Anolis sagrei: one gene and its partner. The protein of the gene in region 1 binds, or shares a complex with, the protein of each later gene. Links are inferred from orthologs where the notes say so. Each region holds a gene or a part of one and is shown on either strand. Other genes may lie near its edges. The genes, in order: RASIP1 and RAP1B.

Evidence for each region.
Region 2: the proteins of RASIP1 (region 1) and RAP1B are in contact, whole or in part, in a crystal structure (PDB 5KHO), measured with the Homo sapiens proteins. The link is inferred for Anolis sagrei from reciprocal best matches to the Homo sapiens genes RASIP1 and RAP1B. Residues at the interface, in NP_060275.2 of Homo sapiens: Val147, Lys149, Ala156, Ser157, Gly158, Ala159, Asn160, Tyr161, Lys162, Ser163, Val164, Leu165, Glu181, Arg182; in NP_001010942.1 of Homo sapiens: Val24, Gln25, Asp33, Pro34, Thr35, Ile36, Glu37, Asp38, Ser39, Tyr40, Arg41, Glu54, Leu56, Phe64.

What each region holds. Positions count from the first base shown.
Region 1 is NC_090026.1:18,471,028-18,486,431, forward strand, and holds the start of RASIP1 (ras-interacting protein 1), read right to left. Parts: upstream 7,136-15,404; 5' UTR 6,870-7,135; intron 5,158-6,869; 5' UTR 5,139-5,157; coding exon 5,005-5,138; intron 4,196-5,004; coding exon 3,618-4,195; intron 1,550-3,617; coding exon 1,185-1,549; intron 248-1,184; coding exon 1-247. Other genes in the region: COX6B2 (cytochrome c oxidase subunit 6B2), read right to left, coding at 10,569-10,622, 11,520-11,620, 12,747-12,876. UniProt on the Homo sapiens protein: Required for the proper formation of vascular structures that develop via both vasculogenesis and angiogenesis.
Region 2 is NC_090025.1:143,042,434-143,058,710, reverse strand, and holds the start of RAP1B (ras-related protein Rap-1b), read right to left. Parts: upstream 6,718-16,277; 5' UTR 6,545-6,717; intron 1-6,544. UniProt on the Homo sapiens protein: GTP-binding protein that possesses intrinsic GTPase activity. Contributes to the polarizing activity of KRIT1 and CDH5 in the establishment and maintenance of correct endothelial cell polarity and vascular lumen.

The DNA of each region.
Region 1 (15,404 bases):
CCACCTGGCGATGGAGTGGGGCACCATTGTGTGTGATGGATGCTCCACGGAAAGGCCGCACCATGGCAGAACCCCGGGGCTGGCTGGGATCTGCGGGGGGCACCGAAGACACCACGCAGCAATGGCGTGGCAGAATGTCTGGGGCACTCAGGAATGTGTCCACATAGTTGGATTGGTCTGAGGCCTGGCGGCGTTCAGGACGTCCAAATATGTGTCGCCGACGTGTCATCACATGGATCACAAACTCCTGTGAAGAGAGGAAGGAGAGATTTGAAGGAGGCAGAGAAGAAATGGTAAGCAATTGTGACAAGAAGTGTAAATATTAAATAATCTCTTCAGTGCATATGAGGACAAATAATATGTAGTTTTCTCCCCATTTTGTGTGTGTGTTTGTGATGGGAATACAGTATTTCTTTATAGCTCTCAGTCAGTATTTGCATGTCTTGAACTGTTTGTCAAGACCAGGTTTTTCTGTGTGTATGGAAAATGTTTGGGTATTTCACAAATAATAATACTATTGCACGCATAGAAAAATGTGGGCTTCTGGAAAGTGGTTTTCACATTAAAATGACCTTCCAATGTACATTTTTACACAGATTTACTTGTCTAAACACAGCATGGTAAGGAAGAAATAAGATATTCTGTGGTGTGGACCCTCTTTGAGGAGGCTCAGATTGAAAGCCATAAACAGTTTGGGACGTTGATACTTGAAGGACTGCTTCTCTCTATATAAGACTGAGATCAATTGGAGATCTGTGTCCCACTAGTGACAATACACTATATGGTGATGTGAGTGTGGACTTTTTCTGCTATGGCCCCCAATTTATGGAGTTCCCTTCCCTTGGAGGTCCACTTGGTGCAAACTGTCTTCTTTTAGGGACCAAGTTAAAATACAGCTTTTTGCTAACACCTGTGTAGTCTAATTTCTTTCCATTTTGATGTACATGTATATGATTTTGTTTTATTTTATTATACTTTTGCTTTTAAAAACTGTTTTGACTCATCTATATGATGTACCTTTGTCCTATTTATTTTATGTTTTTATTTTGATTGCTTTTTTGCATTGCCTCAGTTGAATGCTATTTTGAGATCTCACAGCAAAGGGAAGTACATAAATATTTCAAATTAAAATATAAATATTGTCACAGTGAACTGGCACAAGACTGAAACAGGAAAAAACTTGCCTGCTTTTCATTGTAGCCCAACAACTGTAAAAAATAAGGGTGTTCTGTTGGTGGCTGAATGAGGCACTGGGTGAGCTGCTCTAAACTGGCCACATCCACGGCCTCTTCTTCGGAGGCTGGAGGAGCTGATGTGCCATCCGCGGCTACTTTGAGCCGTGACTCCTCAGAGGGACTCCCTTCTGCGGGTTCTCCTACGGCCATGCTGAGCACACCTTTGCGGTCCTTGCGGCGTTTTATGCTGAGGTTCATCTCACTGATGCTGCGACGGAGGGAGAGGTTGTCTGCCCTCTCTTTGGGGGCTGCATGGCCTCCTGAAGCTGCCCGAGAGCGGCGGGATTGTTGCCGACGATTCTGGGAATTGCCACCTTTGGGAGATGGAGAGGAATAGAGAAGGAAAGTATTTAAATATAAGGTGAACTAGAGAAGAAACAGAAATTTTCATGTTAAAAAGTTATCTCAACCCTCTGTGATCATCAAATTCAGGTCATGGGAAAGGTTATACAATATTACGTAACGGCCACGGAAAGGCAGAGATGAAGGGACATATAGTGTTTGTACAAATGGAGGTCAGCTGTGACCAGCAGAGCTGTAGAATTTGAAGAGGCATGAATGGAGGGCGAAAGAGAGAAACATGCCAAGAGGAAAGTGTGTCAAGCCAACCCCAACCGGGACCGCCTTCCATCTGGAAACCAATGCCCTCACTGTGGGAGATGATGCAGATCAAGAATAGGGCTCTACAGTCACCTACGGACCCACTGCCAGGACACTACACTTGGAGGACCATCATCCTCGGACTACGAAGGATCGCCTAAGAAGATGAAGGTACAAGTGGATGGCTCCCAGAACTTACATAGGGAAAACTGCAATCCAAAACAACTTTCACCAGCTCTGTACTATAGAACAGTCACAGGATACTTTTGTGTTTGCATTTCTCAACCTTTGGGTCCCCGGGTGTTTTGGCCTACTACTCCCAGAAATCATAACCAGTTTATCAGCTATTCTGGGAATTGAAGGCCAAAACATCTGGGGACCCACAGGTTGAGAATCACTGCATTAGATCAAGGTAAGAATAATTCAGTTGCATTGTGCAAAAGATCATAGGCAAAAGATCATCATTCTCTCTCCATCCATGATCTTCTGAGACACCACATGGAAGTGATTAGTGTTCCCTAGTCTAGGGTAAGGAGAATAACAAGACTAATGTTTTTGTCCTTGGAGTACACCCCCCTTGTTCAAAGGTCGGTCTATCACCCCATCTCTCTATGAGTTCTTACAAATAATTCTGCTCCTTTATCTCACCCTGAGTTTTTAAATCATTTTATGTACAGGCGGCCCGCTCACTGTCATTATGTTTGGTTTACTGCTCTTTTTTGTATTTTGTTTATTTTAGTCATATGTTATGTATTTTACTGTGATGTTGTTTATTTTATTGTCACTTGTATCTTATTTTATTGTAATTTGTTGTTTGGGCTTGGCCTCATGTAAGCCGCCCCAAGTCCCCGTTGGGGAGATGGTGGCGGGGTATAAATAAAGATTATTATTATTATTATTATTATTATTATTATTATTATTCTAACAGATGCCCTCCATCCCCTCCTAAAAGTCCTTGAGACTATTCTGCAAGAAATTCTCATAGTCTCCAATTAATGGAGCTTCCTTTTCTCGCTTCACATACTCCTCCCTTTTCCAGGTCCTTGGCTGAAATGCCCAGTGGGAAAACTTCAACTGGAGCTTCAGCTTTGTGCATTATATCAGTAGGTGAGGGCATGGCTCAATGTTGGGATGTAATCGTGCTGGCATCCTGACATCATTGAATTGCCCAGAGCTAGGGCTTGGGGAAGTCTATCCACCTGTTGGCTAGATATCCACACACCTGCCCTATTGCTTGTCTGCAGCTTTTGGTATATCACCATATGCACCTCTGACTATAGATATTCAATTTCATAGCTTTCATGTGGAATTGCCACTGAAAGACCCATTTATTTATTTATTTACTGTATTTATACCCTGCCCTTCTCAACCCCGTAAGGGACTCAAGGCGGCTTATATATTACCTATATAACAATTAGATGCCAAAAAACAACCATAATAAAAGCATATGCATTAAATAATTTCTCCAAGTTCGTTATGCATTGGGCATGGAAAGACTTCAATTCTTGGTAACTCTTCCTCACTACCATAAAGACAAGAAGACTATCCTTCATTTTCTTCCCACTGCCCATGGAAGCAAAGCACCGGAAGATTTTTGGTATCTTTACAGTGGAACACCAGAACAGAATTTGGAAATTTCATTTTGAGACTATAGCTCCTAGCCATGCTGTCTTGGGGATTCTAGGAGTTGTGGTTGTAAAAAGTAACCTTTCTAAGTTCTGGACAAGATCTATCACGGGGTGGGGGGAAAGTCCCATTTGGGATATCTCAAGCACAACATACCTGCATCGTCATCCTCGCCTTCTATCATTCTCTCCACATCACATCGCCGCCGGATTTCAAAACGACGGGTGCAACCAGTCTTGGGTTTCCACACATCCTGCAGTACGAGGGGCCGTTCGGAGTCACCCACTGCTCGGAGGTGCTGGGCCTGCCAGGTGCCATCTGTGCTATGAACACTGCCGACAACATCACACAACACGTAGGCATCTTCAGCATTGGCCTGTGCCACACCATAGCGCTCCAGTGCCTCTCTCACCAGCTGGCGAGCGGTGGAGCGCACAGTGGCCAAGACACTCTTGTAATTGGCACCTGAGGAGATGTCTCCACCATAGATCTTCAGGATTCCTGGCACTTCTCCTTGGGATGGGGGCTCGACTCGGTCTTCAGGCAAAGGATCAATGAGGTCAGCCAGTTTCTTCTCACTGGCCCAGCGGCCTGCAGTTCCACTGGTTGGGCCTCCTGTTCCTCCTCTCTGGAAGAGTGTTGACAGCCTCTTATGTCGACTGGCCTTATTCTTGGTGGCTGGCCGCATCTCCACGGATTCACTGCCACGGCTGGCTGTATCTGAGGATGTTGACCTGTGAAGAAGACAGAAATGCTAGAAGAAGTAGGCTTGGTTGTTGTGAGTTTTCCAGCTGTGTGGCCATGTTCCAGAAGTATTCTCTCCTGACGTTTCACCCACATCTATGATAAGCATCTTCAGAGGTTGTGAGACTTCACAACCAGGCCATTAAAGCCTTTGACAGCACAGAAGTAGGCTTGATTTCAAACCAAAACTACAGTGCACCAATCAGAGTTCTATAAATGTGAAATTAACCATTCTCTGAAATATGTAAATAAGTTTAGAGAAATAAATCATAAATCTGTACAAAAAGGTCCCAATTTGACAAGAAAAGCTCCAATTTATTATGCTTGTCTTTTTTCTCACCCCCTTTTAAAAATGTCCTAGCTTTTCTCTGTCCCTTCAACTTTTCATCTTTGTTGCAAACTTACTTTAACTGAGTTCAAAGTGTAAAAATAGTTTGCATGCAGGAGCAGAGGAAAGGGTGAAATCATGGCCTTCCCAATAGACTCGGTCAACAGCAAATGGCTGGAGCTTCTCTTTGCTTGTGTGTTTCCTTATTAATAACTTTGGCTATCTTGACTACACTCTGATATTGCTTGGCCACATTATGTCCTGGTTGCCATCTGTGAAATGTTAAAAGCTTCAGCAATGAAGAAATAACTGAAATTCCCATCAAAGAGAAGAGAACCCTGGACGTATGTATTAAGGATGATAAAAATTAACAAGGACATTTAGTTCAAAAATATAAGTTTATCAAAAACTGAAAACAAGGCTTGACATGAAGCTAGTTGCTTGGGCTTCCAGGCGAAGAGAAGCACTTACTTGACCGACCCCACGCTTGGCCACCTGCGTCCCAGCTTGGCAAAATGTTTCTTTGGGGAGTTGATCCAAAGGCCAACAGGAAAGTGAAGCTTCCCAAAGCGGGGGCTCCCGTCCTTCCGCTCATCTGAAAACATGGCCACAGGGACCAAGAACCTTTGAGAGGAAAAGTGAAAGAGAGAACACAAAAGGTCAATTCTTAATAGATACTGATTCCAGGAATATCTGGGCTTCCATCTTCCATTCCATATACAGAAACTGTCAATGGAATGGAGGGGTGCCATCTTGGGTAGCAAAGGAAAGAGTCTCAACTGCTTAAGGCCCATGTTAATATATCCTTCACACTCTTATTTTGCTCAAGGTCCTTTCAAAATGTAGTTTATTACCTATAAAGCTCTATAGCTTCGCGTTCAACCTATCTTTGAGACTGCATCTCTTTCTATGAGCCAGCACGGGCACTAAGTTTTATCAGGGAGGCCCTACTCTTGGTCCCACCCCCATCTCAAGTACAGTTGGTGGAGACGAGAGAGAGGGTCTTCTTGGTGGTGGCCCCCCGGCTTTGGAATGCCCTCTCAAGGGAGATCAGACTAGCCCCCACTCTCCAAGCCTTCTGTACACAATTGAAGATATAGTTTTCAACAAGCCTTTGACCAAATGAATATATGCACTTTACAAGACTGATCACAGATTATTATTATTATTATTATTATTATTATTATTATTATTATTATTATTCCTTGTATTAAAATCCAAATCCCACCAATTTCCAAGGGAACCCTTGGAACTATCCCTTGCCCATTGTTCTTTATGTATTCTGTACAAAAGTACAGCATTCCTGCATTATAGACTTAAAAGTGAGATCAAAGCTAAATGTCTGCTCTGGCCACGAGGGGGTGAGTCAGAATCTCTGAGTCAAACCATGACGTCAACAGGAAAAAGATGAGATAAGAGTCAGGATAGCTGGAGCCTCACCTCAGAGAGGCACCCCTTCAATTCCTTGGTTCTTAAAGATGGAACATGATCAACAGGGTTGGATCTTTGTGTTCTTACTGATTAACGTACTCATGATCCAAAATTGGGAAGTCAAATATTCACTCCCATCACTGTCTATGAGAAGAAGAACCTAGTGGTTTAGCCATTCATGACACTTATTGTATGAGTGTCAACTCCAGGTCAATGTATTTTTGCCCACATGGTTAATTCATATTAACATACTAGGCCTAGTCAACATTCATATTCTATGCGTTTATAGCCCCACCCTCTTCTCTTCCTGCTCCCCCCCCCATCCCCTTGTTTTGCATTTAGATTTTAAAATTAATATTAATAATGCAATACAACGTTATCCTACACAGGTGGTAAACCAACTATCTTCAATATACTGTTTTGTAATGGTATGACCCCAAGCTACCCATTGAAGCAGAAATTCTTGCTTTGCCTTACATTGAGCTCAGAGCCAATTAGAAATTTATGTTTCCCTCCAAAAGGGTTTTGGTGTCTGTTCCTCCCATTCTACCAGCTTTCTGGTCCTTCTAGAATAGTTCTTTGAGGTGGTAGCACAGAATAGGAAGAGAAGGCAGGAAGGAATAAGCTTTCGATTCTGTGGAATGGGATCTAATGAATCTGCACACAGACAAGCAAAGAGCTAGGATTGCTGGGTTTATAAGAGGAAGCAAAAGACAAGATGAGAAGGATGGCTTAGACCAGATCTCCTTGAGTTGCCTTTGAGATGTGGGGAAGAGGGGTGAAAATACACACATATCCATGCCCATTTTACCACCTGTTTGATGTCCATTCCCAGTTTTGAATTCTGCGTATCAATCTACAGGATTATTGGTACATGCATACAGCTATAGGTTTAGCATTGTTACCTGCTCCAAAGGGAGTCCTAGCTGGTGCAGTCTCCAGATGTTACTCTCTCTCATGCATCCTACAGCCAGCCAGGCTCCATCTTCTTCTTCTCTAGGATACGGTGGCCAGTCTCTGCTAGGGCGTTCTTGTGTGCGCTGTGTGACTTAAGTCCGGCGATGACTGCGCACGGATTTCCTCTGGTCATTCACACACAGGAGGTGGGGCAGGAAAAGGAGATGGGGGGAGCAGGAAACTGGCTGGGAAGCAGGGCCTCTCCCAAGAACTGGGGGGGGGGGAATGGGACAGAAAGGCGAAGACATCTGAACTAATAGATGCAGGGCCAGGAAATCCCTGGCAGTAAAACTGAGATGGGGAAGGGGTGGATTTAAACAATTAGAAGTTGGTTCCTTGACACTTCATACTACAGTTGCCAAATACTTAGGCGTACAGACACAATAATTTGGCTGGCCTTGGAGGAACCATGGGAAAGACCTGCCTGGACTGACTCATCTTTCTGCTGTTGCCAACATTTGCCCTCAAAAAAACTTGCCAACATTCTTACTACTCTAGCAGAAGCTAGGTAATGGTGTTAACAAGCAGGTTCAGCATTCTTAACTTCTTATGCTAAAAACATTTATTTACTTATTTATTTAAAGCATTTATATTCTGCCCTTCTCACCCCAAAGGGGACTCAGGCCAGAGCACAACATATATACGGCAAACATTCAATGCCGGAACATAAAATAAACTATAAATATACATAAACACTAAAATCAGTTATCTCCACTTTAAAATCAATTGTTTAAAACCATCTCAGATCTTCCATACTGAATCTGATCAGAAGGGTAAAATTTGCTATCGTTGCCTTATTGCACTGTCCCAAAGGTTTGGTCCCATAGCCAAGTTTTTACCATCTTTCTGAAGGACAGGAGGTTGGGGGGGGGGGGGGGCTGATCTAATCTCACCAGGGAGGGAGTTCCATAGCTGTAGGGTGATCATTGAGAAGACCTTCTCCATCATCCCTGTCAATTATGCCTGTGATGGTGGCAGGACCGAGAGTGGGGCCTCCCTGGAAGATCTTAATCTCTGCGATGGTTCATAGAGGGAGATGCATTCAGATGGGTAGATTGCGCCGGGGCCATTTAGGGCTTCATAGGCCACAGCCAGGACTTTGAATTGGGCTTGGTAGCAAACCAGTGGACCTGACACAACATGGGAGTTGTGTGCTCCCTGTATGCCAACCCAGTTATTAACCTGGCTGCCTCTCGTTGGACTGTTTGAAGCTTCTGAACAGTCTTCAAAGGCAACCCCACATAGAACTCGTTGCAGTAGTATATCCTAGAGGTAACAAGAGCGTGGACTACCATGGCCGTCTGACTTTCCAAGGTACAGGTGCAACTGGCATACAAGTTTTAATAAAGCCCCCCTAGCCACCACCGCAACCTGAGGTTCCAGGCTCAGCAATGAGTCCAGGAGAACTTATGCTAAAAACATCAATTATTTTCAATCAGCTGGCAAGACTCTGTTCCAAAAAGCAGTACTTGAGGTGGCATACCTATGGCTGAATCCTATTCTTGTTAGTATCCGGTTCCTATTACTGGCTGAAAAGAGGCTATGCAGTAAAATGTGCCTATCTCGTGCCCATATTAGCTGGTGATACTGATATGATGAAAGAAATAGTTACAGCGTTGATCCTAGTGTGGACAATGATAGTGGATCTCTGTGGCAGGTTTGTAAAATTGTTAGGCATTCTAATAAACACAATTTATAGCATATTGATATCATTTCTACTATCATAGACAAATTAGTATTATTTGTAGTTTGAAAGAATTTAGATTCTCTGCACTGGAGCTTTCTAGCAGATAATTCTCACCAAATTATATGTGCCAAGATTTTGTCTGATAGAGGTGTGTCCATGGGCATAAAACTGCTATAAATGGATAATGTGTATACACCATAGAACAGGCATCTTTAAGCTGAGGCCCTCCAGCTGTTTGGACCTCCAACTCCAAGAATTCCTGGCCATTAAACAAGCTGGCTAGGTCTTCTGGGAGTTGGAGGGCCAAACAACTGCAGGGCAAAAGTTTGTGGATGCCTGCTCTAAAATGTTGTCCATCAGAGAGTTGTTTCACACTAGTCCCATTAGTGAGAATAAGGCTTGTTTTTCAATTGATTTTCGTCTATTGAATTGTACACTCAATGGAATCACAGCTGGCAGGCATAATGTACGGCCAACCAAACGGTCAGTTTCAGAATCCCCACATCAACTCCACATTTCCTAAACATCAACTCCAGATATCCCAAGTCAACCAGTTAATCAATTCCTTGGATGAACAGCTCAAAACCTTAGTTTAACATATACTGCATGTTGGTGATTCTATTCTAGGGTTTTCTTGGCAAGCAAGATGTATATTGGAGGCTGGCTATTGCCTGCCATGAAGTGAGAGAAAATAACTTGCTGAAAAGTCCCCCAGTGGGTTTCCATGACGGATTGTGGGTTTGAACCCTGCTTTCTTGGAGTCATAATCCAATATTCAAATCACTACAACATGCTGCCCCTTAAGATAATTATTATTTATCTTTAAACTAAACTCAGACTGGCTAGCCCTCAAACAGAAGAAAATCCTCGGTAAAGCCGTAGTGGGACACTCAGCAGCACTCGAGGTGGCAGTATGCACAGTAGTGTACTGCGGAGGTCAGGGAGTAGTAACCTTGTGCTTGCTGCCAGGCCTCTGAATACTACATGTGCATAACTGTATTTCCTACACCTGTTTCCTCAATCATTATTCTAGGAAGAGACTTGTTTTCCCTTTGCCACACTCTTCTTTATAGGCACACTTGCTCTTTTTCAGTTGTCCTTGCAGGGTGTGTTCAGTCACTTTCCCCGACCCCAGCCAGGATTTTAGGTGTGTACCTGCTCAGTACGTGAGCATTCATTTCCCTCACACCCTTGTGTTCTGTGCCAGCATCTTTGGGCGTGGGCAGGGGAGTTGTGTTTATGCCTTGACTTCACACCTTTTGTATTCATTACTTCGGGTGTCTACTGGGCGTGCATTTGCTACATCCATTTTTTTAAAAAAAAAAATCCAATAAACCCTTAGAGTTAAGGGAGCTTCACTGTTTTTATTGAATTGTTTCTTAACTGTGTTTAAATCCCTTATTTTTAATTTTTGAAATATATTATGAGTAGCTTATTTCAATTTTAATATTAACCTTTGTATGGTTTAGTTATATTACTTGTTTCTTTTATAATTCATTTTTATTTGAATGACTTAGACATAGACAAATAAAACAAATAGACAAATTTTAGCATTAATTAAGAAAATTATGTATACATGTATGTATGTGTGTGTGTGTATTAAACATAAAAAATATTTTTTTTACTTTTTTCTGTTTATTATATATAAAGGCTCATAGAAGAATAAAAAAAATTCTTGATAGTAAGGCATTAGGAAATAGGGAATGAAAATGTTGCATTTTTATATTTTCAGTAATAAATATTAGAAATGATTTTTCTCTTAATTTTCTTTACAATTTTTATTGGTAGGTTTTAAAAAATAAGTTCACAAACATATCTGAATAATTCAATCTGCTGAAACAATTCACAGCTTGGTTGATCAATCTAGACGGGGTTAGAATAGAATCATAGGGTTGTAATAATAGCCATTGTGAGGACTTTCCAAGGGTATCTCCATTTTAGATGAAGAGGACTGGGAGATTCATATTTTGCCAGCAAAAGTTCCCTGTGCACGCTGCTCATCCCAGCGCTTTACCTGCAGAAAGGGAAAGCAGACAGGAAGTTGGGCACCTTAAGAGAGGAAGCAAGACATATGGATCCACAGCAAAATAAATCACATTATATTCTTTTCCCTCCCACACAATCCCTATATAGTTGTGTGTCTTCAAGTTGTGTCTGGGGTTGACTACACAAGAAAAAGAAAACAGTGACTATCTTTATTTGGGTGCTGTAGGAACACATGACACATGATCATTTTAACAGTGAAAGAGCTTTTTAAAGGCTGTAATGTGTTGTTTTTTTTTTAATCTATAGTTTCAAGAGGGGGAGTATTTTTTTCAGTGTGTCTATCTGGATCAAGGTGGCATTGAGGAGTGGGGAGGTTCAAATCAGTGGATGGCAAACCACATTTTTTTTAAAAAAATGTCTAATTGGGGCCCTCATTGCTGAAAAGGCAAAACAAACAGTGCCTGTCTCTTTGGGGCCGGCAAAGCATTACCTCTGACTTCCCTGTCAAGCATCATCCCAGCAGAGCCCCACTTGGTCTGAAGTCAGGAGGTGCTGCCTAGCCATGAGATTGGGGGGCGGGGGGGGGGGGGGGAGCAATCCATATGTTATGCTGCATGCATCATTTGTAGCAAAACAGCATGTTCTTTACTCTAATATGAGTATGTGCTAACTAGATATACATAGGGGATAGTTTGAAACTTTGTTTTGGTTTTTCTTAAAACTTTATTTTATCCAAATTATTTTTAAATCTGGAATTATTTCAAATCCTTTTTTAAAATGCTTCCCTGATATCATGTTTGAGAGCAAGATAGACATATTCTAATAAATAAATAAATAAATAAATAGCTTCAGATTTCACATTTAATACCAGTGTGCTGCTTGACTCTTTTTGCAATGCTTGCTTAGGAATTCAAATGTCACGTACCCAAGAAATTGGACATAGGGACTTGTAAACCCTGTGGTACCACTCACATACTGCAGTGTCCTTTCCTTTGGCTTTCATAATCTTCACACATCGGTAATAATCTGTAAGGAAGAAGGAGAAGCGACGTCATAACATCTTTTGAAGTGCTGTCAGTGTCTGCCTAAACTGAGTCATTTAATATTTGTTTAATGTGCTTAATCTGCTTCATAGCTGTGTTTAATGAGCTTCTCAGTTATGGCATCTGTGTCGTGCATAGCCAGGAATACCCTTCTCTCTCTCCACTGAAAATCAAGCTAACCAAGAATACTTTCCAATATTTCACTCTTAATCTACCAAGGAAATATGGCTGAAGTAGAATGACATCTGACCCTATTTTGCTTTGGCTCCTGAGACACTGGTCCTACCCATGTTTACTCAGAAGTCCCATTATGTTCAACAGGACTTACTTCCAAGGAAGTATGATGGGAGCTCAAGATGAGAGCATTCAAGAATGACAAGGATGGTCAATTGGGTGTCCAGAAGTGTTCTGCCTACAGCTCCCATCATTCCAGCCTGTATCACTAATGATGAGAAGATATAGGTGCTGTGGTCCAGACACATTTGGAGGGCCACAGTTGCAATCCTGAAGTGACTCAAAATATAACCCTTGCTGTCAGGTTGCATCCTTCTTTCTTGAATGAAATAATTTAGTATTGCATTTAATTAGTTGTTTGTCAGGCATGCTGCAGATTCAGAGTTAAAGTAGAGTCTCGCTTATCCAACATAAATGGGCCGACAGAATGCTGGAGAAGCGAAAATGTTGTATAATAAGGAGGGATTAAGGAAAAGCCTATTAAGCGTCAAATTATGTTATGGTTTTACAAATTAAGCACCAAAACATCATGTTTTACAACAAAACGACAGAAAAAGTAGTTGAATATACGGTAAGTGTATGTAGTAATTACTGTATTTACGAATGTAGCACCAAAACATCGCAATGTATTGAAACAGCTGTGGATCTCGGCAGGAGGCAGACTGCATTGGAGAATACAGAACGCTGGATGAGCAAAGGTTGGATAAGCAAGACTCTATGTGTAAATAACATACAAAGCTGGAGGGAAAAATACTTAAGCTTGTATGATCATTGTTACCATTGTTATCATGTCCCTCCAAAATATAACAGAAACAGTTCAACATCACAAATAAAATTCATTCACTGCAATGCATCTATCCTCTTTTAAAACTCACCCAAATAATTCTGATAACAGTTACGAGTTTGGTTGGTGTTTGGAAAACGTGGGTCAAATGGAGCTGTGAGATAGTCGCCTTGTTTTTTCTTCAGCTTGGAGAAGTCTTCAGCTGCAAAAACTTTCTGCATTTCTGTGAGGCAGAGAAAGAAAACTCATTCAGAAGAACTGCCACAAAAAACCCCAGAACAATCCCAGCCACCCACTCTTGCTTTTTAGAAAATGTTGGAACTCTGTATCTGAGTGATATCTACCAATTTTTCTGGTGGAAAATTGCCCCAAAAGATATTACAAGATTAAGAAATGGCAATGCTTTTCTAGGCCAATCCAACCTGTATCTTTAGCTGAGCAGTTACAATATCTTCTTATCTACAAAACATTCAACCACGTTCAATGCTCCAGTGGGAAGGAATCCCACTAGAGCATTGAAGCACACCAAAATACCTGTGAGTTACCCTGAACCATGCTTTGACTTACAAGAAACACTGCTTGACTATCAGCAAAATTGGGTGCGAGAAATAATGTCATATGAAAGCTGCCTGGCACAACTGGGAATCATAAACTCCCTCCTGGGCACACATAAGACTACCAATGCCTCAAATCAAGAAACAGCTTTCTAAGATCTACAGAGATACTCGCAGGAACACCTCAGGAAGCAGTTCAAAAGTGGCTGCTTGAAACCCGGAACCTCAATCAGTGGCTGAGACCTGAGGAAAAAACTCCCTCCTGGGGACACATAAGACTGGGCGACTTGGAAGGTACTGAACAGACTGTGTTCTGGCATCACGAGATGCAGAGTCAAACTTAAGAAATGGGGCCACAAAGTGGAGTCCACAACATGCGAGTGTGGAGAAGAGCAGAACATTGTTTGGATACTTTATAAATACCAGAGATCTACAACAACAAAAACTGTGCCCTATTGAGATATTTGCCCCATCTGCCCAAGGATATTCAGACCATTTTATTCTCAGTGCTTAGATTACAGTATTGTGTTATTTCCCTATGAAATTGAGCACTACCTACTGAAGATAAGAGTTATCAGCATAATTGTGCATTCATATAGGTTCTGAATTTTCTTTGTAGTGAACACAGCTATTGTTTGTACAGGAATTTAAAGAGAAATACTCCCCCACCTCCAAATTATAACACACGGTTACAACATTTTCAACAAATTTTAGCCTTTGAGTCACCCTTGAAATGATATGGAAGTGAATTGAGAGATTATTAACAATGCAGTCTAGGAGCCCATCCAGACAGTTCCTTTATCCCAGGAGCTTCCGCAGCAAATAGGAGAGTGGCCAAGCGCCATTCCCTGTAAACGCTGAAGCAATTGCTACAAAAGGCAAAACATGTGAGCATTCCAGGTGTGGGAATATTGCAGTTTTTAACCAAATATGCGAATCTTCACATGTCTGTATGTCCCTGTAATCGGAAATCACAGGTTTTTTAACTGGGCTTGTTCCCAGGTTTTAGATGTTTGTTCCTGATTGGTTGGTTCCTAAAAGGGTGACACTTGAGTAGAAGGCAAAAACTTTGTTTTTGTTCCAGGTACTTCTTGACACGTGTGGAGGGCACATTTTCTGTGGCCAGGACGAAGTTGTGGCCCACGAGTCAATGTTGCACATCTTTTCACAAGAAGAGCGATCAGGAATAGCCACGTATAACCCAGGAACAGCACCCTGCTGTTTGATGCCACAAGTACACAACCAAATCTGTCTGGGCAGGTGACCAGTCAGCCAGGCTCTTAAAAGTGTCAATAATGGCAAAGTTCTGTTCCTGGCTTGAAAGTGTGTGCTCCTGTTTGAGAAGTGGTCCTAACCCATAAGCTTTGTGTGGCAGATACTTCATGAAAAATATGAACGGCACAGTTTCTCTGGCCAGGACCAAGAACAGAACTGTTGCAGTGATTTGCTGCAGTGATTCTCCGTATATCCACAGCTTGAGTCTTAAAAAAATCACTGAAATTTCCAGCAAAAGTCCTGCAGCAGCCATCTTGGGAGTCTCTAAATCTCGCAACAAAACATCAAGTTTGGACAACGGAGGCAGAAATTCCAGGACCAAACACTCTGTATGTGGACCTCTTCTGAATTCCCAGGATTTTTTGCCCTTGTTTAAAACTCGTGATTTAGTGCCGTCTGGAAGCGCCCTAATTCATTGTACATGAGTTAACTGCTACATGCCGGATAAATAGTGTCTTGTTGCTTGAGAGTTACTATCAAAATAGGCCTAACTAATACAGATTGGTTCAAGATTGAGAAAGGCGTACGACAGGGTTGTATACTCTCACCCAACCTATTCAACTTGTATGCAGAACACATCTTGATGAATGCAAGGCTGGGCAAAAATAGCTGAAAGAAACATTAGCAACCTTAGATATGCAGATGATACCACTTTGATGGAGGAGCTGAGGAGCCTTCTAATCAAGGTGAAAGAAGAAAGTGCAAAAGCTGGGTTGCAGTAAAACTTTAAAAAAACCCCAAGATTATGGCAACCGGACTGATTGATAACTGGCAAATAGAGGGAGAAAACGTGGAGGCAGTGACAGACTTCGTATTTCTAGGTGCAAAGATTATTGCAGATGCAGACTGCAGCCAGGAAATCAGAAGATGCTTACGGTACTTATTGAGAGGAGAGCAATGACCAATCTCGATAAAATAGT
Region 2 (16,277 bases), on another chromosome or scaffold:
GTTGGACTAGATGGCCCATATGGTCTGTTCCAACTCTAGTATTCTATGATTCTGCAGGCAGGCAGACCTTTCTCTGTCAGCAGGTATTTGAGAAAGGATAAGGGATATTCTGGGGAGATGTGGGTGGAACTCGAGGGACTGGGACCTATGAGTTTTAAATACTATTTTTAATATATTTATTATATTTTAACTGTATTTTAACCTAAATCTACACATTTTTTTGTAGTCACTTTGTTTTAAACTGTGACCAATGTGTTTGATTGTTAACCGTCTTGAGTCCCAACAAGGAGAAAGGTGAGGTATAAATTAGATAAATAAATTGTATGCTATGGCTTGGAGACTATTCAAGGTTGAACTTCTCCAGTGTATTGAACATTGGGATACCTCTGTACTAAGTTCAGAAACCCCAATTAGTTCAAAACATGGCAGCCAGATTGGTTACAGGAACATCTAGTAGTGAGCATATTACATCCATATTAAAGTCACTCCACTGACGGCCAATTTACTGGCTTTGACCCTTAAAGCCCTACATGGTTTGGGTCCAGGTTACCTACAAGATAATCTTCTCCTGCACAATCTCCCTTTAGGACACGAGGTCCTCTGATGGACAGCTACTTCAGCCAGGCAGAACTGACTGGTGACTGTCACCCAGAGGGCCTTTTCATCAGCCACTCCACAACTGTGGAATGACCTGTTGGAAGAGATCTGACAGCTAAACAAGGTGTCGGAATTTAATATGCAATTGAAGACCCATCTCTTCTGGCAGCCTACCCAGTCAGCTTTCAATCATGAGTTTCATTTTACGTTATATCGCTACTATATGTCAATTCTGTATCTATGTTTGATACATAGCTATATATTTGTGTTTTTATCTTTGTAGTTTATTATATTTTTATGTTCATATATTTTTTAATTTGTTGTACCCCACCTCAAGCCATTTGGAGAAGTGGGTAATATATAAAGTGTATAATAATAATAATAATAATAATAATAATAATAATGGAGAAAAGATCTCCCACTTATAGAAAGATTTCTGCCTACAGAAGGGGTTCTTTCTTAAGGAATTTTTTTTTCATGTATGGATTCTCATTCTATTCAGAGGAAAGAAACAAGGTTTACAATCATGCATTAATACTAAGGATTTTAATACCGAACAAAAGTTTGCTTCAAAGTATTTGTGGAGGGCTACATTAGTTCCATAAAAGCAATGGTATCTGCACTATTATCACCACTTTAGTCTAGTTTGCTCAAAGCAACAATTAATTAAATCTGAAATAAATAAAAAGAGGATTTTGATCAGTAGACTCTCCTGATCATCATCTATTTGCATCTTGGATTGTTTTTCACAACCTAGAGATATATGCAAAGAAAACCAGATTTCATGGCAGCATGTATTTTTAAAAAGTTAGGAGAAAGTGTTTTTGGAACACCACACTCGTATTTCTATCACCATAGTACAGAGAGTTTTTATTGATAAGTCAAAAGAAGTTGCCATTCTTCAAAAATAAACTGCTAAAGTATACACAATTTGTGCTCTATCCAACCCTCATGGTCAACAGATGACTGTTTATATCCACAATCATGCTCTACTGGCGCAATAACACAGCACAAAGTCAAGAAGAAACCAAAGAGGCCCTACTACTTTTTGTAAATTTTCAGTTGTTCACCAATTAATTAGGAAGGGGGTCAGATGCAGCTGTCATAATAACATTTCTCTACATGTCTTTATGACTAAAAAATAAACACAATATTGGATTTGCTTCTGAAACTTGGCTATGGGAAGAGACAAAATTTCAAGCCACGCAGGTCTTTAGAGTGTCAATGTAAAAAACATGCCCAGATAAGGAATGGGACAGAGTTCATGCTATATAAAGTATTAGACCTCAAAGGTCCACATGACTCTATTGTTCTTGATGCAACAAACTAATATGGCTATTTTTGGAAATAGCATTTGCCAACAGTTTTCTCCCTATTCGGAAAAAAAGTTTTCATGACCTCTACACTCTAAACCACTTCACATTTTTCCCTACTTTCAAGGTAATAACATCTGCAGAGCACTATAGTAATGAAGCCTCACGTGTATATTTGAGACAAACCTTATGATCGAAACAAACACAACTGCTGAATAGAAGTTCCAGACAGGCACTAGACACTACTATATCCTGACTTTCTAGACATGGGGCTAATTGCAAAAGCACCCCAAGGCCAGAATACTAAAAGGACAGCCACTCTCCCCACCAATTACAGGGTTTGACAATTTTCATTTCAGCCTTGTCTGGTTTCAGTTTAACACAGGAAGTTACTGAAATATTGAATTAGGGCAAGTTAACAGGAAACTGAAAAGGTATCAGCACAAGATTATGAAAAAGCTGCCAAATAAGAGATGCAGGCAAAACAGGATTTTAAATGACTGCTTATTGTACGGCATATGAGGAAACACTGAATGAGCTGGCTATGTTCAACTTAATACAGAGAAGACTGAAGGCTGACATGACTGCACTTTTTAAATACTTCAAGGGTTGTCACACAAGAGAGGGAGAAGGTCTATTTTTGCTGCCTTAGATGGTAGGACCACATCAAATGGTCTGAAGCTGCAGAAAAGTGGATTTCCATTGAACATTATAAGGAACTTCTTCACAGTAAGAGCAGTGCCTAGAGATGTGGTGGGGTCTCTTTTTCTTGATCTCTTTAAAAGGAGTCTGAACAGCTACCTGCTGAGGATGTTCAATCATGCATTGTTGGACTGGATGGCCCATGAAGCCCCTCCCTTCCAATACTATGACTCCAAGGATTTCCATTTTGAAAACTTCACTAGGCTACAAAGACCTGCACTCTTTATCATAATTTAGCACAAATGAATACTCACTGGTTTTAGTAATACTTGTGCAGAGCACTGCATTCGTGTCCAAGGCACTAGGGGCCCTTCCACACAGTCCTATATCCCAGAATATCAAGGTAGAAAATCCCACATCATTTGAATGTGGACTCAGATAACCCAGTTCAAAGGAGAAGCTGTGGGATTTTCTGCCTTAATATTCTGTGTGGAAGGGCCCTAACCATCTGCTATTTGATCTTGATTTTTGTAACAGGGACAAATGATACCCAGGTCCCTTCCATACAGCCCTATATTCCAGAATATCACAGCAGAAAATCCCACATTATCTGAGCGTGGACTCAAATAGCCCAGTTCAAAGCACATAGTGTGGGATTTTCCGCCTTGATATTCTGGGATATAGGGCTGTGTGGAAGGACCCCCAAAGATCTGTGATCAATTAAGTATTCTCTAACCATTTCATTATTGGTATAGTCCCTGCCCACCTGCATCTGAATCCAACCCAAGTGCTAGGACACTTAGGCCCCTTTCATACAGTGGAATAAAATTCCACATTATCTGCTTTGATCTGGAATATATGGCAGTGTGGACTAAGATAACCCAGTTCAAAGCAGATATTGTGGGATTTCCTGCCTTGGTATTCTGGGTTACCTCACTGTGTGGAAGGGCCCTGGAACTTAAGCAACCAGGACGCTCAAGCAAGTGGCAAAAATGAAGAAATACTTTAAATAAAATTTTAAATAGATGTATAATACAATAAAACTTCAAAAGGTAAATTAAAATTACATAATGCAGAAGCCAAGCAGTTTTTATAATACAGCAAAACTGAGTTACATTAAGTTTGTCTTGGGGCCCTTCCAGGCAGGCCCTATATCCCAGGATCTGATCCCAGGTTTTCTGCTTTAAACTGGGTTATATGAGTCCATACTGTCAGATAATTTGGGATATTTTATATTCTTATGTTTTTTACTGGATTGTTCTATTTTACTGTGCCCTATTTTAATTGTGCTTTTGTTTTAATGGATTGTTTTGCTTTTATGTCTTGTGGGCATTTTGACCCATATGTAAGCCGCCCTGAGTCCCTTCAGGGAGATGGTGGCAGAGGATATGAATAAAGTTATTATTATTAAACCAGGACTACCTGGTGGCGCAGCGGGTTAAACCACTGAGCTGCTGAACTTGGTGACTGAAAGGTTGGCAATTCAAATTCGGGGAGCGGGGTGAGCTCCCACTGTTAGGCCCAGCTTCTGCCAACCTAGCAGTTTGAAAACATTCAAATGTGAGTAGAATAATAGGCACTGCTTTTGGGGGAAAGTAACAACGCACCATGCAGTCATGCCGGCCACATGGCCTTGGAGGTGTCTATGGACAAGGCCGGCTCTTTGGCTTGGACATGGAGATGAGCACCATCCCCCAGAGTCGGACTTGATTAGATCTAATGTCAAGGTGAAACCTTTACCTTTTATTATTAAAACCTGGGATCAGATCATATATTTGAAAAAAATCTCTGAATATAAGGTCTGGGGACTTTCTGTTTAAAAATAAACAAAAGGTTAACTTTGCTAGAAATATGATTCATTGAAAAAAACACAGATCAAGGCCCCTTTTACCCTGCACTATATCCCAGGATCTGATCCCAGATTATCTGCTTTAAACTGAGGGTCCTTCTACACAGCCCCATGTCCCAGAATATCAAGGCAGAAAATCCCACATTATCTACTTTGAACTGGAATATATGGCAGTGTGGACTCAAATAGTCCAGTTCAAAGCAGATATAGTGGGATTTTCTGCCTTGATATTCTGGGATATAGATCCTAGATTATATAAATCTGCACTGTCAGATAATCTGGGATAAATAGAAAACCTGGGACCAGATCCTGGGATATAGGGCCTGTCTGGAAAGGCCCTAAATCTGCTTTCAATTAATACCATATTTCATTGTGAACACCCTATCAAGACTGCAAAGAGTTTATGAGGCACGCAGTATTAGTTAGGCTTATTTGTAATTTTAGAAACAACTCTCAAACAACCAGAAACTACATTTTTCCAGCACCAACCAATTCTCATGGGTGCTGGATAGCAAAGGGCCCTTCCAAACAGTCACATAACCCAGAATATCAAGACAGGAAATCCCACAGTATCTGCTTTGAACTGGATTATCTGAGTCCACACAGCCCTATATCCCAGAATATCAAGGCAGAAAATTGCACAATACCTGATTTTGAACGGGGTTACCTGAGTCCACACTGCTATATAACCCAGTTCAAAGCAGAAAATATGGGATTTTATTCAGCTGTGTTGAAGGGCCCAAAGAGTCTACTGTGATAATATTAGGGGAGAATGAAGGCTTTTCTACACAGTCCTATATCCCAGAATATCAAGGCAGAAAATCCCACAATACCTGATTTTGAACTGGGTTATCTGAGTCCACACTGCTATATAACCCAGTTCAAAGCAGAAAACGTGGGATTTTATTCAGCTGTGTGGAAGAGGCCAAAGAGTCTGCTGTTATAATATTAGCGGAGGATGAGGGCTTTTCTACACAGTCCTATATCCCAGAATATCAAGACAGAAAATCCCACAATATCTGCTTTGAACTGGGTTATCTTGAGTCCACACTTTGAACTGGGTTATCTTGAGTCCATATAACCCAGTTCAAAGCAGAAAATGTGGGGTTTTATTCAGCTGTGTGGAAGGGCCCAAAAAGGCTACTGTGATCATATTAGGGGAGAATGAGGGCTTTTCTAGACAGTCCTATATCCCAGAATATCAAGGCAGAAAATCCCAGAATATCTGCTTTGAACTGGGCTATGAGTCCACACAGCCTTATATCCCAGAATATCAACACAGAAAATCCCACAATATCTGCTTTGAACTGGGTTATCTGAGTCCACAGTGCTATATAACCCAGTTCAAAGCAGAAATTGTGAGATTTTATTCAGCTGAGTGGAAGGGCCCAAAGAGTCTACTATGATAATATTAGGGGAGGGCGAGGGCTTTTCTACACAGCCCTATATCCCAGAATATCGAGGCAGGAAATCCCACAATACCTGCTTTTGAACTGGGTTGTCTGAGAATATCTGCCTTGATATTCTGGAATCTAGGACTGTGTGGAAGGACCCCAAGACTCGATTAAAAAAAAACCGCATTATTCCCCCGAGGAGCTGAAGAACTGCTGCTGAAAGGCCGGTGTGGGCCGCCACCCCTTCCCTTCCCTTCAGCCTTTCAATGCGGCTCCTTGGTGGAGGGGCAGTTTCTCTGGCAGGAAAATAGGAAGCGGAAGAGGCCTATGGCAGAAGTGAGGAGCGGCCGCAGAGCTTCCCGCTGAGGCCGAGAATGGAAACAGGCGGGGCTGAGGGAGTCCGGCCGGCCGGCGAGAACTTTTTCCCCCGTTATAAGGCCCGGGTTCCCTCTCATTCCCCTCAGGGAGGGGGCTCCAACTTTTCCCCCTTCTCCAAGTTCTCCCGAGGAAGAGGAGGCGGCCATTGAAAGGGAGGAGGGGGAGGAGGGGGGAGCAGCCTTCGCCCGGCATCTCTCTCTCCACTGAGGGGAGCGGCCGGGCTCGGTTCCGCCTCCGCCATGTTCTCTCTCTCTCTCTCTCTCTGTGTCGCCTCAACCGCCTTCCTCTCTTCCTCGACTCCCCCTCCCTCCTCTCTCCTCTTCTCCACAGGCTCGCTTCTCCTCGGAGGCAGCATGGCGGCCTCGACTTACCGGACGGCGCTGCCGCTCCCCGCCGCCGCCGTCCTGGCCAAAGCTCCCTCGCCTTCTCTCTCTCTTGTCCCGCCCTCTTCCCCCTCCCTTCTGACTGGGCGAGGCTTGGAGCCGTTGCCGTGACGCTGCACGCGCAGCCTCGCGCTGGCTTCCCGTTTAGCGCTCGCGCACAGGAGGAAGGAGGAGGAAAGAGGGAGGGGCCACCTCTGCTCCAGTCGGAATGCGCATGCGCGGAGGGACTGCAGCCTTCTCTTCTGCCTTTCTCTCCCCTCCCGCCCACCCTCTGTTCCTGAGGCGAGCTCGCCGCTCGGAATGCGCATGCGCGGAAGAACTGCAGCCTTCTCGTCTGTCTCCCTCCCTCTTGGGGCGAGTTTTCTCCGCTCAGAATGCGCATGCGCGGAGGAACTGCAGCTCTTTCTTCCTCTTCTCCCTCTTTCTGTTCATTTATTCTTTTCTTTCTTCCTCTCGTAGGTCCCCCATTCGCTGCAGTAACCGCCCAGTTAAAGAAAAGGCGGCCGAGGAGGTGGAAAAGCCACTCCACAATTACACTACGCTGTTAAAGCGATATTGTTCCGCTTTTATTCATAGAATCATAAAGTTGGAAGAGACCTCATGGGCCATCCAGTCCAACCCCATTCTGCCAAGAAGCAGGAATATTGCATTCAAAGCACCCCTGACAGATGGCCATCCAGCTCTGCTTAAAAGCCTCCAAAGAAGGAGCCTCCACCACACTCCGGGGCAGAGAGTTCCACTGCTGAACGGCTCTCACAGTCAGGAAGTTCTTCCTCATGTTCAGATGGAATCTCCTCTCTTGTAGTTTGAAGCCATTGTTCCGCGTCCTAGTCTCCAGGGAAGCGGAAAACAAGCTTGCTCCCTCCTCCCTATGACTTCCTCTCATTGCTTGGCTGTCTCTTGTGGATTCCTGGGATTTGCAGTTTTAAGGGGATGAGGGGGGGGGGGCTTCTCGGCCAGAGAGGTCCTGAACTACATTTACACAAGGCATGGGTAATTTTCGGCCTTCCAGTTGTGTTGGACTACAACTTCCACAATTCCTAACAGCCGGTAGACAGTTAGGAATTGTGGGAGTTGAAGTCCAAAACACCTGGAGGGGCGAAGTTTGCCATGCCTGATCTACACTGTGGAATTAACGCTGCGTGGTGCCGCTTCAGCTGCCAATACTAAGGACTCCTAGGATTTGTAGTTCTTGCAAAACTACATAGAACTCCCTGGTTGACTCTGATCTAGGCCTACCTTTTGAGGCCTTTGTGACTATAAAGTGGGAAGGAAGAGCTGCCTTGACGGTAAAGGTGGGCTATATAGTTGACCTTCCTCATTTGTGGGTTATATTTTTGCAGATTGGTTATTTGTTGATTTTTTTTTCCGTGTGAGGAGCGGCTTGAGGAACTGAGAGAATTGGCCATCTGTACAGACATTGCCCAGGGGACGCCTAGATGTTTTTATCATCCTTGTGGGAGGCTTCTCTCATGTCCCTGCATGAGGAGCTGGAGCTGACAGAGGGAGCTCAACCCACTCTCCCCAGATTTGAACCTCTGACCTGTTGGTCAGCAGTCTTCTGGCACAAGGGTTTAACTCATTGCGCCACCAGACAGTTGATACGAATAATATGTTCCCTCCAGGAATCTCTTGGTCTTCCAGTGCATTTCTGTGGTCAATTTCCACCTGAAATTGACCATAAAATCGGACTGGAAAACCTAGAGATTGCTACAAGATGTTCTAGGTGACTATAGTAACTTCCTGTGAAAGTGATTCATTTAGCGTTGGTGGTTCAGTGGGTTAAACTGCTGACACGCTGAACTTGCTGACTGAAAGGTTAGTGGTTTGAATCCAGGGAGCGGGGTGAGTTCCTGCTGTTAGCCCCAGCTTCTGCCAAGCTAGCAGTTCAAAAGCATGCAAATGTGAGTAGATCAATAGGTACTGGTCCAGCGGGAACGTAATGGCGCTCCATGCAGTCATGCTGGTCACATAACCTTGGAGGTGTCCACGCAAAATGCTGGCTCCTTGGCTTAGAAACTGAGTCAGACACGGCTAGACTTAATGTCAGGGAAGCTTATTTATACTGCTTATGTTATTTGTTATTTTATATATTTTATTATGATGTATTCTTGCTGCTTTGTGTCTAATTATGTTGTATTATTTTGAGTTTGGCCTCATGTTAGCCGCCCCGAGTCCCCTTTGGGGAGATGGTGGTAGGTTATAAATAAAGTTTGTTATTGTTATTATTATTATTATTATTATTATTATTATTATTAACTTTTACCTTTACTATTATCTATAGTTTTCCGTTTCCACACTACGTTCAGGAATGTATTCCCCATAGATGTGGGTGTTGTACTGTAGTTTAATGTAATCTTAATTTTTGTATGGTTTCATTGTATTTTTTTTAATTGTAAGCTACTTTGAGCTCCAATTTTTTTTGGGGGGGGGGGGGGGAACAGGATACAAACAACAACAAACAATCCATTTTCCCCACACCATTGTGACAGTTGTTCTATATTCCTTTGTCTTGAATACTAACCCATCAAAGTTAACAATAACAAAAAAAACCCCTACTCAGATGTAAAACTTAATATCTTTTAGGCTCACATTGCAATTGTTTATATAAGGGACTGACTAAATATGCACAGGACTGTTTTGTTAAGCTCATTACAACAAACTGCTTCTCTTCCTGCCAGTGCAATTTAGGTCTGACTAACTTTAGATAAATTGGGTCTTGTGTAAAACTGGCAGGAAGTTGCAGTGGCAGTGACATTTGTAGGAAAGGGAGTGGTGGCAGAAAGAGAGACAAGTTCCTCACAATAAAAAACACTATGTTCTTTCCAAAGTGTCTTGCTATCTTTAGTTCATTTTGTGAAATTCTTGCAGCCTGCCCCTAAACATAGTTACTCCAGAGTAAGCTGGGCAAATAATAAAATGTACTTTTCTGCCAACTTGGTTAGAATAAAGCTAGTTGTCCATATAAATACTGCTGTAAGATAAAGGTAAAGGTTTTCCCTTATATTAAGTCCAGTTGTGTCCAACTCTGGGAGTTGGTGCTCATCTCCTTTTCTAAGCTGAAGAGCTGGCGTTGTCCATAGACACCTCCAAGGTCATGTGGCCAGCATGACTGCATGGAGCACTGTTACCTTCCCAACAAAGCAGTACCTATTGATCGACCCACATTTGCATGTTTTCAAACTGCTAGGTCGGCAGAAGCTGACGCTGACAACAGGAGCTCACCTCACTCCCCTTGTTTAGAGTTTTATGTGCACAAGTGTATAATAGAAGGCATGGACAGACTTCAGCCCTCCAGGTGTTTTGGACTTCAACTCCCACAATTCCTAAGAGTCGACCGGCTGTTAGGAATGGTGGGATTTGAAGTCCAAAACATCTGGAGGAACAAAGTCTGCCCATGCCTGGTATAAAGGCATGCAAAAGAACAAAGCCTCTGACAAATGGTGCATCTACACTGTAGAATTAATGCAATTGGACATCACTTTAACTGTGGAATTATAAGAATTGTTGTTTACAAGGTCTTTAGTCTTCCCTGTCAAAGAGTGCTGGTGCCTTACCAAATTACAACTCCCTTGGCAGTTAAAGTGATGTCAAACTGTATTAATACTGCAATGCAAATTTATTCAAAGAAGCCACTATTTTACTGCCTCAACCCTTTTCTAGGTTTTTAGCAATATTGGGGACTGGAGAAACATAATATTTCAGTGTCAGATAACAGAAACTTGTCTGCAATAAACAATGCAATGAAGCTCGAGGTGGAAAAATAGGACTCTACTCAAACCAGCATGGTGTAATGGTTTGAGTATTGGACTACAACTCTGGAGATCAGGGTTCAAATTTCCGCTCACACATGGAAACCTACTGAATGACTCTGAGCAAGTCACACTCTGTCAGCCTCAGAGGAAGTTAAAGGCAAACCTCTCTGATGAAATCTTGCCATGAATGGCTCAACTATCTTTTGTTGGTGAGCAATGAATGAATCAAGCCTCAGATTAAGACATGGCTCTCTTGTGATACGATACAATACAATATTTTTATTGATTAGCCCTTAGGCCATATCACAATACTAAACCAAACAACAACAACCCACTTTCCTAGTTCCAATAGACCTCACTACCTCTGAGGATGCTTGCCATAGATGCAGGCAAAACGTCAGGAGAAAATGCCTCTAGAACATTGCCATATAGCCCAAAAAAACCTACAACAATCCAGTGATTCCGGCGATGAAAGCCTTCGACAATACATACTTCAACTTTGTCTCTAATATTCTTCCCTCCAATGAGCAGTCGGGCTTTATTTCCTGAAGTATGGACTGTAAATACAGTAAATACGATAAAACTGAGTATATACATCATATTTCCTTATTACACCTATAATTTACCCCGATCACCCCACATATGTTCTCAAACGTATTGTTTTGCTTAAATACAGAGCTGTTTTATATGTTATTTTTGGGTCTTGGCCACACATAAAATGTGTTCTGATGTGAGATTCCCAATACATTGTCCATTTGGTATATGAACCAAGGTAGAAGTCGCTTGAGATAGGGAGTTAAGACCCAAGGATCAAAACACCCTTTCCCCATGTGTTCAGGACTTGCAACAAAGACTGTTCAAGGATGCATCTACACTATGGAGTTAATGCACTTTGAGTTAATACCATTTCAACTGCAGGGGCTCAATGCTATGGAGTCATGGGACGTGTAGTTTGATGAGGCACAGCATGCTTTGACAGAAGGCTAAAGGCCCTGTAAAACTACCATTCCCATGATTCCATAACACTGAGCTTTGGGAGTTAAAGTGGTGTCAAGACAGCATTAATTTTGTAGTATAATGCTCCCAGAGACACAAGGATAGGAGCAACCTTTAGTGACTCATTCCATAAATCAGGGAATTAGGCATTAAGAGATGAGAGTTTCAGATCTACTTGAGCGAGTGGAGAAATGGTCCCATTCATGGTTAGAAAACACATCCGCAGCAAAAGAGAAGGAATTCCTGGAACTCAGACCTACACTGCATGCTTCACAGGACAGTTACAACTAAGCCCTGATGTAGATAAGCATCAGACATAGAACAGGGCACATATTTTCTTCCCAGTGTCACAGAGTTCAGGAAGATCTATAGCCAGATGGATTAATTTTTGTTTAGCAGCAGAAGATCCTTGCTTCAAATCCCAGAATATATTGCCTGGATGGCATTCTGAAACCAATCTGGAGGAGGACAACATGGGCTGCAAACTTGGCACCTTCATGGACCAACCAGCTCTTGGTGGTCATCCTGCCTCTTCAGAGCCAATGTGCACAATAGCAATTCAGCAGGACTCCTTCCCCGACACCTGGCAGCAACACCCATCATAAAAATGCTGCTTGAATTACAATCCAAAGCTAGTAGAGACTCTTGGAAGGGTTGCTGCCTCTTGAATTCCCCATCCTCCTTGTTTGCCCCATTCAGAGTCCAAAGCAAGCCCATATTAGGATGAAGAACTGCTATCTAGCCTTGACAACAAAGAAAAAAATGGCACAGTTGATCAACATCCAGGATGGAGCTGCTCTTGAATAGGGAAAGACATGCTGAGTTTGCCAACAGTTCACTCCAGGAGTGGTGGTGTGCCAGTGAAAATGGCTCGGTAGGCAGCAGAGCAGCTCCATGATGCCAAGTCAGTCTTAGTCAAAAACATAGTTACTTGGAAAAGTTCCATTAAAAGGCAAGATAACAAGCAAGAACAAAAGTACTATTCATCAGGCTTTGTGGGGATAAAGTTACTATCACAATAAGGGTGACTACTACCCTAAACATTCAGTAAGATGTGATACTCTCATATATGCAGTCCCTGTCCACGAATATGCAGAATTAAATGTATCCATGTTAACTGAATATGTACCTATTTTTCAAACCTTCATGTGTGATTTATGGATAGTTGGGAAATTTTAATCCAATGAATGCTGTGTTATCCTCTCTTTAGAAACACTTTGGTGGGTTTTTAAAATATTTATACAAGACTAAACCACAATAGTTACAAATCATTATCTGTAGGAAGCTTGGTAGACTAGATACATCACAGATACATACTAGTTCTCTGGTTGAACTTCCTCTGTAGAATATCAAAAGCATCAACCAGAGGGAGCAGTTTTTGCTGAAGCATTGTTAATAACTACAGGTGTAGCCTTATTTATTTATTTAGCAAATTGACGGTACAGTTGTAATGTATTTAAAAACACAGAGTTAAAAACGAGGTATTATATTAGATTTCCTTTGATCAGAAGCTGGCCAATTGAAGTGCCTCTGGTGTTGCTGTAAGAAGGTGCTCCACTTGTGCATGTGGCATTGAAGTTGGTGGTCTGTGGTTTGCTCTTCTCCACACTTGCATGTCGTGGACTCCATTTTGTAGCCCCATTTCTTAAGTTTAGCTCTGTATCTTGTGGTGCCAGAGCGCAGTTCGTTCAGCGCTTTCCAAGTCACCCAGACTTCTGCGTGGCCAGAGGGGAGTTTCTCATCTGGTATCGGCCACTGATTGAGGTTCTGGGTTTTAATCTACCACTTTTGGACTCTTGCTTGTTGAGGTGTTCCTGTGAGTTCCTGCAAGATGTAGTCTAATGAAAAGATATAACAAGTAGGAGGGGTAGGTTTTTAAAATTACTGATCTTGGATATTCCTGGTTTCAAATAAGAAATGATTATTCATATGACACTTTATACTGCAAATATTTTCTATAATTACTTTATTATTTATTTTATTTATTTCAGACATTTATATCCTCTCCTACTCACCCCCAGAGGTGGACTCAGGGCAGCTTACAACTGGCAACCATTAGATGCCAACACCAATTAAACACAGTTAAATATTAATTAAACTTTAATAAATACATGTTTAAAATAGGAGCTTTCACCCTTGCTCTTGAACATTTTAAAACATTGAAAAGGGGTTGTGTGGTTTTCCTGATGTTGTTTTGTCCTGGGTTTATTCCTGGCATGACAGCTCTAATATTTTACAATCAGGACATGCAGAATTGAAAGCAGAATAAGAGGTAATCTTTATTGCTTCAGTCATCAAAGAAGGATGCCAGGGAGCATCCCAGATCTGACATGCCCTCCGTTTACACATACTGGTATTTTATGGCCATTCAAAAGAATAGGCATTGCTTCAATTGGTACAAATTGCTATCCAACGTTTCATTGGTTAGATGTACATTCATTGTTGTCATGTTTTACAGTGTGCGATTGGTAGATTAGGTCTAGCTGGAACTTTCTCGAAGTTTTTATTGGAGGAAAACCTCAGTTTGTCCCTTCTTCTGGCAGGGCCCTTCTGGTCAGGGAAATGGGAGCCAGTTAGGGGACAATGGAGGTATTGATTATTATCATTGTGGAATGGTCCTTAAGAAATGGGATTTTCTTGTTCCCTAGATGAAACAATAGGGAGAAGGGCTACAGTGATGGGTTTTGTGGTTGCTTTAGGTGGAATATATTATGTCCATATATGATCAGTTGCTGGTAGAGATGTTATTTTCTATCTCTTTATTCTTCAAAATTGGACTCAAGATAGCTCATGCATGTGTTAAACAAAATATGTGCATTAGAAATTAGTGGTAACAAAAAATTAAAACACAGTTAAATATAATACCATGTGGAGACATAAATATTTTAAGACAATAAAATAATTTCAAACCATGGCAAGAATAATTTTAAAATGTAACAACAATGCAGCACACACCTTCCATCAGAAAATTTTTATTTTTCACTAATAATGCACTACACTGTAGAATTAATATAGTTTTACATCACTTTAACTGTCATAGCTCAGTTCCTTTGAATCATGGAAGTTGTAGTTTTCCAAGGTCTTCACCTTACTTTGCCAAAGACGGCTGATGCCTCACCAAATTAAAACTCTCAGGGTTCCATAGCATTAAGCTATGACAATTAAAGTGGTGTCAAACTGCATTCATTCTGCAATGTAGATGCACCTTTAGTGACCAAATGCTTCTTTTCATAAAATCTTCACTTAAGTGGTAGAGAGTCCCATAGCCTGAGAACAACCACCAAAAACATGTGAAAAGCCTCATGTTTTCTATCATTTTTATGAACAGACAAAATGAATCCTACCATTCGGTAATGTTTGCTTGCTGGAAAAATATCTTCTGGGACTGACACTGAAAAGCTGCAATGAGTCATTCCACAGTTAAGGAATTACTATTTCATTCTTGGGGGGGGGGGGGGGTCCCTAACCTTCAGCAGGGAGGAGGGGTAAGAAAGCAGAGTGTCTCAATCCACCTTCTTCTTACCTAAGCCTGAATTTAGGTCAGTTTCCAGATGCAGAAAAAGTCCCTGAACGGGAAAGTATACTTCTTTTCTATTTTGTATCCCTTTTGACAAATTCCAGTAGTACAGCTTACATGGCTTTACAATTTAGCGTGGAAAAAAAAAGTTCCAGTGAACTATAGGTATCTTAAGCTTAAATTCCTCACAAGATACATTTTGAATCTAGCTCTCATAAGTCTTGACCTATAAAGCCCTATACGGTTCTGGCCCAACATACCTGTCCGAACGTATCTCCCTCTACGTCCCACCTCGGAGTTTAACATCCTCTGGGGAGGCCCTGCTCTTGGCCCCACCTTTGTCGCAAACGCGCTTGGCGGGGACGAGGGACAGGGCCTTCTTGGTGGTGGCCCGCCGCCTGTGGAATTTGCTCCCCAGCGAAATTAGGTTATCCACATCTCTCCTTTCCTTCACAAAGAAGTTAAAAATGTGGTTGTGGTACCAGGCCTTCGGGTAGCACGCTGACAATGACAATGGTAATTATAACAATTTGCTATGGAAATGGACTATGGACAAGCTTCTGATCGTCTCTGGTCACAGAATTTGGCTTAGATTAGGCCACCAGGATGTAATATTTTAAACAGCTTTAAATTGAATTGATTTAATGTTTTATTTATATGTAATTATTGTGTTTTATTATGTGTATATAGGGGCATCAAATCATTGCCGGCTGTAAGCTTCCCTGAGTCCCCCCCCCCCCCCCGGTTGAAAAGGGTGGGGTGTAAATATTTGAAATAAATAAATAAATAAGGCTGTGGGTGCAAAATTGTGACTTTGGGTGGGTGAGAATAAGGCCATGTGCCCTGAGAGAAGTAAAAACAGTTCAAAAATAACCCCATTGCTGACAGGCCCTTGATAGTTGGTAACTGTAATACTGAAGAAGAATATAATTTACTGGCTGTCCCTGGCCACACGTTGCTGTGGCCCAGTCTGGTTAAATGGAAAAGAAAGAAAAGAGAAAGAGCAGGTTTCTAATATATTTAATTTCACAATGCTTGTGGGTATACAGTATTTTTTTGTTGTTGTTCCATTGTCTGTGCAGATATAGAGACTGTCTGGTTTGCCGACTCTAGAACACGCAACATATAATTGTCCATGTGAGAAGCAATCCGTGACTAGATCTGAACCACACAATTCTAAAGATTGGCCCGAGCTTTGTTGATGGTGATTGCAAACGCCAATCGAATTGAGAATTGCAATCTCTTAAATCGAAATGGCATATACAATGGAATCATAGGAATGCGAGGAATGAGGACATCTTCAACCCAGAATATCAAGGCAGATAATCCAAAATGTCTGCTTTGTACTGGATTATATGTCGGTGTAGACTTAGGCCCCTTCCTTACAGCCATATAAGAACACCAAGGCTGATCATCCACAATGTCTGCTTTGAACTGTGTTATCTGAGTCCAG